2 linked regions of the Arabidopsis thaliana genome follow. The protein of the gene in region 1 interacts with the protein of each later gene in a pairwise test. Each region holds a gene or a part of one and is shown on either strand. Other genes may lie near its edges.

Evidence for each region. Proteins that work in one complex are often made in the same cells at the same time.
Region 2: the proteins of AT4G38690 (region 1) and AT3G08930 interact in a protein complementation assay, tested with the Arabidopsis thaliana proteins (one large-scale study listed by BioGRID).

The regions. Positions count from the first base shown.
Region 1 is NC_003075.7:18,073,792-18,077,801, forward strand, and holds AT4G38690 (PLC-like phosphodiesterases superfamily protein), read right to left. Parts: upstream 2,167-4,010; 5' UTR 1,909-2,166; coding exon 952-1,908; 3' UTR 529-951; downstream 1-528. Other genes in the region: AT4G38700 (Disease resistance-responsive (dirigent-like protein) family protein), read right to left, coding at 2,792-3,364.
Region 2 is NC_003074.8:2,711,526-2,717,874, reverse strand, and holds AT3G08930 (LMBR1-like membrane protein), read right to left. Parts: upstream 4,564-6,349; 5' UTR 4,314-4,563; coding exon 3,964-4,313; intron 3,862-3,963; coding exon 3,776-3,861; intron 3,484-3,775; coding exon 3,368-3,483; intron 3,257-3,367; coding exon 3,146-3,256; intron 2,928-3,145; coding exon 2,829-2,927; intron 2,737-2,828; coding exon 2,614-2,736; intron 2,352-2,613; coding exon 2,289-2,351; intron 2,210-2,288; coding exon 2,145-2,209; intron 1,988-2,144; coding exon 1,878-1,987; intron 1,788-1,877; coding exon 1,673-1,787; intron 1,576-1,672; coding exon 1,510-1,575; intron 1,204-1,509; coding exon 1,093-1,203; intron 1,017-1,092; coding exon 950-1,016; intron 865-949; coding exon 817-864; 3' UTR 509-816; downstream 1-508. Other genes in the region: LHCB4.2 (light harvesting complex photosystem II), read right to left, coding at 1-158; AT3G08920 (Rhodanese/Cell cycle control phosphatase superfamily protein), read right to left, coding at 4,758-4,962, 5,162-5,601; AT3G08910 (DNAJ heat shock family protein), read left to right, coding at 6,064-6,228.

The DNA.
Region 1 (4,010 bases):
CAAGTAATTAATTTATAAGAGAAATAGAAAATGAGTAAAATTTAAAAATTATTGAGAGATAGAAAATAGATCCCTTTAAATTTAGCTTATAATTCGAAAAATGTGCATGTTTTTATCTTAATCACTTACCGTGAGAAAGTATAGGAGTAAAATGATGTTATCGTAAAGTGCCAAACAACAAATCAAACTTGTGCTTAGCAAAAAAAAAAAAAAAAAAAAAACTGGTATCATTTGAGAACATGACTTAAAACGCAGCCGTTTAAATAAAAAAAGTTGGTTTCTCTGCATCCCATGTCTAGAGTCTAGAAGAGTGGTCTCGCTGCCGATCTCAGCAGGGAGAATAATTTGGCTCGGCTCAATCACTCTTGTGGATCAAATGCTCTTCTTCTTCTTCTTTTGTGTTTCAAGTCTTGAGAAGAAATCTAATCTCAAATTATTAGGATTTTGCACCATGTTTCCATCATCTCAGTTTATAGATATAATCAAATAATGAAATTATAGAGATGCATTGTGTCATTAGCTACTGATATGAATTCTAGCATAACTGATTCTATTATCTTTTTGTTCTTGAAGATCACAGTAGTGTGTAATAAAAAGGGGCATTGCTGCAGAAATATAGTCATCTCTCAGGTTAGCAGCTCTCTTTCACTTGTTAAAACTAGATTTTACCATCAACTGTATACTTCTTCCTTCTGTTTTGCCTGTCTATCAACTACAACATCTGCAAAAGTATCAGAAATTAATAGTAATGAAGAGTTTGGATATCTCGCAATTGTATCAGGATTCAAATAAGTTGTAATGAATTGGAATATACACTCGTAAATCACACACACATACAAATACACACTCACATGTTCTCTTATACACAAGCAACCCTAAAACACATCAACCATGTTCTGATTCTTTTCCTTCAAAATAGATACACAAAGTCTGTCTCCACACGCTCATTCCTCAGGCCTTACCTTCAGCTCTCGCAAAGGTGAGCCCAACGCAAGCATCAACAAATTCATTATCTATGAAATCAGTTGAGAATATCTGCAGTTTATCAGCACATCCTCTTTTTACACACTCTATGATGAATACCTTGGCGTAGCAATGTATCCTCTTAGTCACCGGTTTTACACACATTATTGGGTTATCGGGCTGCGGCGTCACTGTGTTCTCCACCCGGTAAAAGAATTTCCTTGAAGTAGCTGGTTGCTGCTGGCTCAAATGCTTGATGTTGCTCTCGAATTTGGTCGATGGAAGATCTGTATCGATCCAATTGTCTTTAAGGTAACCAGCGCTCCAAAGAGGATCACCATGCTTAGGCTGAGGCGATTTCCTCGGTTTCCAAACGCAGATCACTCTCTTGGGAAGCAGCTCAGCGACTGTCTTGGAGAACACGTGATCGTCCTGGTGAATCAGATGCTCTCCAAGCTGTTCCACAAGATACTTATCAAACTCCGGTGGGTCTTCGTGTCCAAACTCTGTTCTGATCTCAAGAATGACAATCTCCGACTCTGTTTCGGATAGAAACCGTTTGAGATCGGCCAAGACAACGTCGACACTATAAGTCTTGAGGATACCGTGGCATACACGGCGATCTTCTTGGACACGAATGTCAAGGACTCGAGTACCCGCCACGAGCTGGTTATAGATGGAGAGAGATTGGCACTTAGCAAAGGGACGAGACACGAATCGGATACCGATTTTGTTGGTGGCAGAGTCGTGCGTCCCAGGCCAGACGATCTTGTTGATGTGAAGCTTTTCAGGTCCAACGCCGGCCATCCAGTTTTTACGATCGGAAGGCATGTAATCACACCCCGGAAACTCGCAGCCGCACGATTTCTCGAGATCGGTGAGGGCTTTCTTCTCCGTGGAGATGGCTTTTCGCCGCTCGAGTTGTTTGGAAAGGTGAGAGCCCATTGCTGAGGATTAACCCTTTCCCTTTGCTCTCTCTTCTCTGATCACTATATTGAATTCTGTTCTCTCTTGTTTATAAAATGTTCCATGCCTTCTTTATCAATAAACCTTTACTCATAAGTCGTTATGATTGTTTTTTATTTACTTATTATTGGTTTGAAGAAGTTACGAATTATACGTTAATCTTTTAATAATTACGCTACTTTCTCAAAACACCGTTGACATATTCGCAAATTAGAAGTAACTTTCAACTTTTAACTTAACAAAAACCATAGAAAAAAAGTAGTAGCGTTTAATATGTAAGATTAACTGTTACAATTTTTATTGTGGGAACATTTTAGTGTTATAAATGTGAACTGATTGATTAGTTGAGATATATTGAAAGAGTGGTTGAGTTGTAATTGATGGGAGAGTGGGTTTACAATGTATGGTAGGTCCATTTTTGTTGTATAGCTGTCTTCACTGTTTGTTATTTGTCAATTTCTAATGCCTGGCTATTTTCCGACGTGAAAGATATCAATACAACGTGATTTTTATTTCTTGGAAGACACATATTCAAATTTTCTATGAAATAAAAGTCGTTCCTAAAATTTAAACAAGGCATCGATAATTAATATTTTGGATAAAATTCGGATAGGATCCGATGGAAAACCAATCATATACACTCACAGGCCCTATCATGTCTTTTGTAAGACTATCTCAAATATCACGATCCACACAACTAAGATATGTAAAAGAGATTACTAGTATAGATTTTGGGAATTGAGAAGAAAGATTGCAACATAATTAATCAATTTTGATCTCTTGATCATGCAAAATTCAGTTTTGATCTGAATAATTGATTTAGTTGGCCTTTTTATTGTTTTAATCGGAACATATGAATCGGTTAATAATGATAAACAGTAGCATCATATCGGAGAACAGCATCACCAGTCTTCATGTCAATCTTATTTGTTTTTACTTTGACAAAACCTCTCGCCATTCTGAATTTCCCACGGCCACCAACAATCGCGATTTCTCGCTCTCCGACCTCTTCCGCCACCGGATTCCTCGAGAAGATACTGATCGAGCTTCCATTAAACTTCCCTGCCGTGAAAGCCAAATCAGCGTACATGACGATCGTGAATTTGCTCAAGTCTTTGCACCCGGAGACATACATCCCTTGACCATTCCCGATCTCTTTCGAGTGTTTCTCCGGCCCGACGGTGAGCGGATCGTCTATCACAAACAGGCTTCCAAAACCTACCGGCGAAGCTGAGCCACCGGTTAGATTTGCATGTGCGATTCTAACGGCGGTAGGATTTTGGCCACTGAGAGTATCATGGAGATAAAATCTGACACGTGTCACTTTCTCCTCATTCAGTTTAGCCGGTTTGGTGTTGCCATAGTAGGATTCGTGACGCGCCATAACGGCCATGCTCAAACAGAGTGTGAAAAATATTATTAATGTGCTCTTCATAATTTATAAACTTAAGGAATTGATATGAAAGTTTACTATCCAAATGAATCTAGAACATATATATATATATATAGTTTGATCACTTGTAATTTTAGGAATGTTTACAGGAAAAAGATTTTCTCCTATAAAAAGAGGGTATATGTCATTATTTAGAAAATCTATTTGATATTTTTCTATATAACAAAAAGAAAATAGTAAATGCATATGATCCAGGTATTAACTTTGAAAATTTTCTGTCTGATATTGATGATATGTTCAAAATTGTAATAGTGTTTGACAACTTTGAAAACATGTAAAGAGATTTAATTATTTTAGAAAATTATGATTCTAAAAAGCTTTGAGATTCTGCCAAATAACTAGCATAAACTTTATTCGAGGTAAGGATATGTACCACGCGCACCTTAGGAGCGTTGAGCGCGTGTTATCAAAATGGGTAAGCTATATAGTCCAGCCAAAATGCCTATTTTTGATCAATTTTAATATATTCCCAGCTCTAAAGCGCGTGGTATTATCATATTCCCCGTCCCACTACATTCTGTGTGTTTGTACAGGTTGGATTTATTCCTCACCACATATATCTTAAGTGGACTGCACCGATCAAGAAGATTATAGAATACGGGCCAGATCTGATACTGGGTCGGGTTAA
Region 2 (6,349 bases), on another chromosome or scaffold:
GGCCGGTCTGAGATAACCGTCTTAGCCTTTTTGGGAGATGCTTTCTTGGTTCCGAATCCGAACCGGGCTGTGAACCGGCTTGAATTGGAGCTAATGTCGGAAACCACCCGGGTACCCATGATTGAAGAAGCAGCAGCGGCGGTTGAAGTGGCGGCCATCTCCGGCGTCGTTAGTTAGTTCTGTCGCGTTTGCGGTTTGTAACTTATCTGAAGCAAATGGCGTTTTTAAGTGGCGGTATGTGTGTGGGAGAGATCTCAGAGAACGAATCTTGACGGTTAGATGGAGAAACAAATCCATCTGACGGTAGGAAACAAAATCAGCCTTATCTATAAAAAGCTCGCGTTATCTATCCTGTCTGTCTTTTAGAGTTAGATGAGGCAAGCAAGCTGATTGGGCAAAAGAAGCTATTGACGAATCGCATAGCAACGCCACTTGTCACTTCAGCAGCACATGTCCACTTGTATAGTTGTATGCCTTGCATACTAAACAAATTCAAGAATATTGATAATCCGGTTAGGTTCGGTTACAATTGTCTCAAACCACAAAGGAAGTCTCTGTCTTGTAAAAATTCGAAGAAGGCTTCTCATTAAGAAAATATGATTACATGATCGCATCCGAGACAGTACAATAGACCAAGACAGGACAGCTAACTGTTGCGCAACCAAACAGCACACTCACAAGAAATTTAATAATACATTCAGGAAAATAAACCTCAGAAGCAGAGTCTCTAGATACTTCTGGAATCGATGATGATCCAGAAACAAGTAGAAACTTTGTCGACAGCACTCAATCAGATCCCCGTGAAAACGTTTTACATTAAGAAGAGAGCTGGAAACGGCCACTAGTTTTTTTTCTTCTCCATCCCTGCCAAAACACCAAAGACCATATGATTCTACAAATACTTAATACAGAAGAGAAAACCCGAGGAGTAACATCAACGAGGACTTACAAAGGCAATGTAATATAGGAAAGTCAGTCCAGCCAGGATAACAAACCCGATTTGGAACACATTGTACCTGAAATATAAAACCTCAATAAGACGCATCACGGATATAGCATATGACTGCTATATGTTATACCACTTCTACTTACTTGTAAAGGTACTTAATTCCTCTAAGGGACTGCAATGTGTGGCCAAATATCTCCTGGGCAGCAGTGGCTTGAGCGTAATATCCAAATGCAGTGGCACAAAATTGAATCACGCTGCATTTTAAATGAACCACATTACTCAGACTGTGAGGATTAACATGTAATTGTGAGGGTAGCAGCTGTATATTAAAAGTCTTGGTTTGACATCTAATAGAGTACAAAGGATACCCAAGTGCATGAGTAAAGTAACTATAAACTTCGATTCAGGCATTCGCCGGAAAGGAAATTAGTTTTAGTGATGGCATGAAAACACTGATAAGTTAATGTATGCACATAAACATGCTTGATCTAGATCCGTTTATCAGAGTGCACTTGATCCCAACAGATACAAAGGCAGAAGAAGAGACCAGAGAGACTTACCTGATTGAACAAAGAAGAATGAGGCCGACATTGAAGAGGAAAGAGTTCATTAGAGTAGCTCCCCATCTGAAATAAGTTGATATGGCCAATCAGCAATCAAGAGAAGGTAATGAATGACCTTGGAAAATAGCCAAATAATGTTGAAACCGGTTAGATGGATTACTTCATTGGATGAATGGTAATGAAGACCAGCTTCAAACCCAGCATCATTGCCCCAGCGATAACAGCAAGTAGAAGGTAGAAACAGAAGAAAGCAAAGGCAGCAGTGCCTAAAAGACCTGGAGATTTCCACACGTACCAGCATGGAGTCAGTTAGAAACAAAGAAGAAACCTTATACAGGATAACAAGGACAAAAGTATGAACTTACCCCAAACATCATCAAGCTTAATGAAAACCTCGTTAAGAAAAGGGGAGAGAGGAGGGTCGACGAGTAGATATATGATGATGTGTGCAACCCAAGCAATGGAAACGATCAATCTACAAAGACATTAAAAATTTGCCATTTAAAAAGACGCTTAGCTCGGGAGCTTAAGAGTGCAAACCTAAATATGCAAGAACTGTATGCATTATGCATGATTTATACAACATGTAACAAAAAAAAATGCAAAGGAGGTTTCTGCTTAGATGTACTAACCCTACGATTCCAAGAATAAACTTGGCCAAGTATCCGAGCACAGTGAAAGCCCATGCAGTTTCTGCCTGGAAAAAGGTACCAGGGAATAAAATAGTTGAACAAGAAAAATATTATAGTATAAGTTCTAAGATACACTCGTCTTACCTGCTCTCCTTGAGGATACATCTCTTCTAAGAGGTTCACATCTTCCTCCAATTGGAGCAACTCCTGCAGGGTTACCACATTCAATTATAGGATTGAGGGGACACAGCTTAAATCCACAACCAAGCAAAGAAAAGCTACCAATAAAGTCAATAACCAATTCTACTATCTCACTAGCTTTTCACTACAAGTTGTCATTCTCATAACTCCACAGACGACCAAAGCCTCTTTACACACAAGGGACCAGTATGAATAGGCAAACTTTCCAAGTTGCTACTTATGAAACAAAATTTAGATAAGATACTGAACCTTGAGATATATGAGGTACCTTTTCAACTGCTTTCACATTTTTCCGCCATTTCCTGCCCTTAGCACCACTTCTTTCTTCCTGATGAAGTCCATCAGCTGCTTTCTTTAGTTCTCTTGCCTTTTTACCTAGTTCGGTTGCCTCCTGTAATATATTTATGGAGTTAATCATGCAAGAGACAGAGGGATTGACTCAAGATCTAGAGAGATGCTTCCAGAGGAGAACAATAACCAGACCTTTATATATTGTGATCGAGTGATAACAGCCTTTGGTCGCCTGATGAATGCAGTGATAAGTCCTAATGGTAGACATGCAATACCAACACCACCAAATATCTAGAAATATTTGAGAGAACAATTAGTTATCAGATTTTTTTTACTGAAATGTATAAATCAAACATCTATTTACTTCAATGGATACAGAATTATATCTTGCCATGCATCTCATCTGTTGAGAGTTTGTGTTAGTCAATGAAGAATCAACAATATAAGACAGATTAAATCCTTTCAAAGCAAACAATGCACTTCTCAACATGAAAGAACAATGGTCATACCGTGAAAAGAACTGACCCAACAATTGTCGCAAGAGCAACAACATATTCTGGAAAAGTAGTACGCATAGTCCATGTTTTCTCAGATGTGGGATTAGCTGTAAATGCTGAGCACTGCATTGATAGCCAGAGACAGGAATATGTTAAATGCTGAAACTCTCTACGGCATAAATGACTCATGATATAAAAACTAATGCTAATGCTACATTCAAGAGGCAAACATACCTGGCGAGCAGTGTTACCTATGCATGGTTGAGTATTTGAAAACTGCCAGGAAGTAGGGAAAGTGGATGTGGCAGAAGCCAAATGCCTGACCGAGAAGTCCACCTTTCCAATGACACCTACATGATGAAGATGTTACCAATAATGTTAAGGTATTCCTAGCATATAAATGGATAAGATAGATATCTCAACCCAAGCCCTGATTGGGTAATTTAAAAGCCAAAATTAACATAAGAATGCAGTCAAATCATAGAGACCAACATCAGATTCATCCTTGCCACATGCTCACTAATGGATTCAATAACCACTCCAGCTAAACAAGTATAACCTCCAGACTATCGTCATTCGTCAATACAGAAAGACGCTGAATTTCAAGTCGACAAAAGAATTGAAAACAGAGGAACAACTAACCATATAAAATTCCAAGCACCAGAGCACAAACAACAGCCGTGGTAACTACCCAAATTAAGGCACTTTTTATCCTCTTTCCAAGAGTCCTGTGAAAAAACGAAAGAAAAAAAGCCCACAAATTGTCATCAGTATTCGATTAACTCAAAACTTACAACATAGAGATACTAAAATTTCATCAAGCTACGAACTTGTCCTGGTCGCCTTCATAGAAAAACATTGCGAAGGGGATGACAAAGAACACGAGAATAGCGTCCACGATATAAATAGCAAGCCAAAGATCCTTCATGGGCAAGGTGAGATTGCAAGCTCCATTGTATATAGCATGTCGACAAGCATGCCGATTGGCCACATCAGCCGGTAACATGAGAATCGAGATCATAGCAATAGAAAGGCCAAAAACAACGACGAATTTGGGGAAATAAGCCTGGTTTGCATCATCTGGATGCTGATAGTTGACGAGAAGATAGATGCTAGAGATGAATACGATGACGCAAACAACGATCGCGACAATCACGAGAGCGAGGTTGAAATCGCCCATCGTGTGCAATGTACAACGTCCCCAATTCGAGAGATTTCGATCCCGGAACGATTTGGAAGATGTAGCACCCAATTGCAAAGGCTAGGGTTTTCTAGGAGTTCAAATTTTGAAAATTGAATTTGGGGATTTTAGTAGATCTGGATTTCTTTCTTTTTTTCCCTCTCGAAAACCAGACGAGGGAAGAAGAAAGAGGACTGGGAGAGGATGAACATTCTTGTAAATTACGAAGCTACCCTCAACAATGTGCTCTCGTGCCTAATGGCTTTGGGTGTAAACGTAAATTGTTACTAGGTTTGGAGATTAGCTGTCCGAAGCAAATGATTCGGACAAAATATTTCAACTAATGAAAGACATCTGTAAGTAATAAACCAGTGACCAATTGTGTAAACCGGACACAATTTTAAAAACAAAAAATGTCTTCACACTTGGCTCCAAAAAACCAATTTAACGACTCTTCTGGCCAAAAGACGGTAACAGTACAAGTAGTTTGAGTAAATAAAATGATACACCTCCTATCGTGGCGAACCGAAGCTCTTCGGTCCCTTCGATCTCTGGAAAATCTCCCTCGGATACTCGGTTAAACCCTCCGGTTAACCACCCTAAGCTTTTGTACCCTTCTCCGTGGAGCTTTGATACAGCCGCCAACGACCTGAGAATGAGATTGAAAAGCAACACCATTTATAACAACCAAACCGAACCAAAGAGTTCAGTTTAATTTATACTATCCAAACCAAAAGATTCTATGATCAAATCGATTGATTAATAGTTTATTTAGTTTGATAAGTTTCTCTAAAATCTGGACTAAAACTGGCAATGATTAACCAAAATGCAACATATAAAGCTGGTACCTGAGTCCTTCACCGCACACGACGAGCACTTTACTCTCTTTGTCCGGGACAGCCTCCACAACACGGAGGGCGAATTCGTCATTGATCATGGTGAATCTCTGGCCCGTCCAAAGCCCAATATATCCCAAATGAATCCATTTCTTCAGCAACGTGATCGGCCCATTGTCTGGATCTTCCACGAACAGTGGCACGTGTAAGGAACCTTTCACGCGTGCCTTTTCTCTTTCCCAAGCCGGCCTCACGTCTAACAGTATATATCCCTCCGACGCCACAACCGCATTGGCTTCTTTGGGCTCCACCGCCCGTACCTTGCCGGAAAGTATCAGCTCTTTACCGGAAACGGCGGAGATCACTGGTAATCTGTATGATTGTCGGAGGCGTCGGTTTAGTACTACTGGTAGCTTGTGGATATGGTTTAGCTGAGGAAGAAGAACTGTCATCTTTAATTCTTTTGGATTTTCAGAGGAATTTAACCAATGATATTGTTCTTCAGATTTTTCATTTTAAGAACACCCCAAAACTTCTTACTTATTTCCATTTTAGGCCCTCAGATATTTCATAATTTGACTATCACCCTCGCTTAAAGTAAAGTAACAAACATATACTAGTGGGGTCAAATGTTAAATAATAAATATATAGGGCTACTAAGTGTAAATTTCCTCTCTTTGAAACGACACCGTGATTCTTAATTCTGATAAGGTTTGACTTTTGAGCTAGGTTTGCCGAACCAAAAACAGAACCGGTAAAGACCAAATAAAAGAACCGGTCGGGTATTTCTTGTATCTCGATAAATATTTCGAACCGGTACGGAATGATCCGCTAGAGTTTTTCCCATTGAAGAAGATCGAGTGAAATTCGAAGAGCGAATCAAAGAGGAAGAAGAAGAAGGAGGAGGTATAGCAATGGGGGTCGATTATTACAAGGTTCTTCAGGTGGATCGGAATGCGAAAGACGACGACTTGAAGAAAGCTTATCGCAAACTCGCCATGAAGTGGCATCCAGACAAGAACCCTAACAACAAAAAAGACGCCGAAGCCAAATTCAAGCAGATCTCCGAAGCTTACGATGTAAATTAACAAAATGCGTTTTCTCTTTTCAGAGAGATTCCCATCTTTTGCTTGAATTTGAGCAATTGTGTAGTTTGTCAATTCACTATGGTTACTTCTCTGGCAATTAAGTAATCTTGAT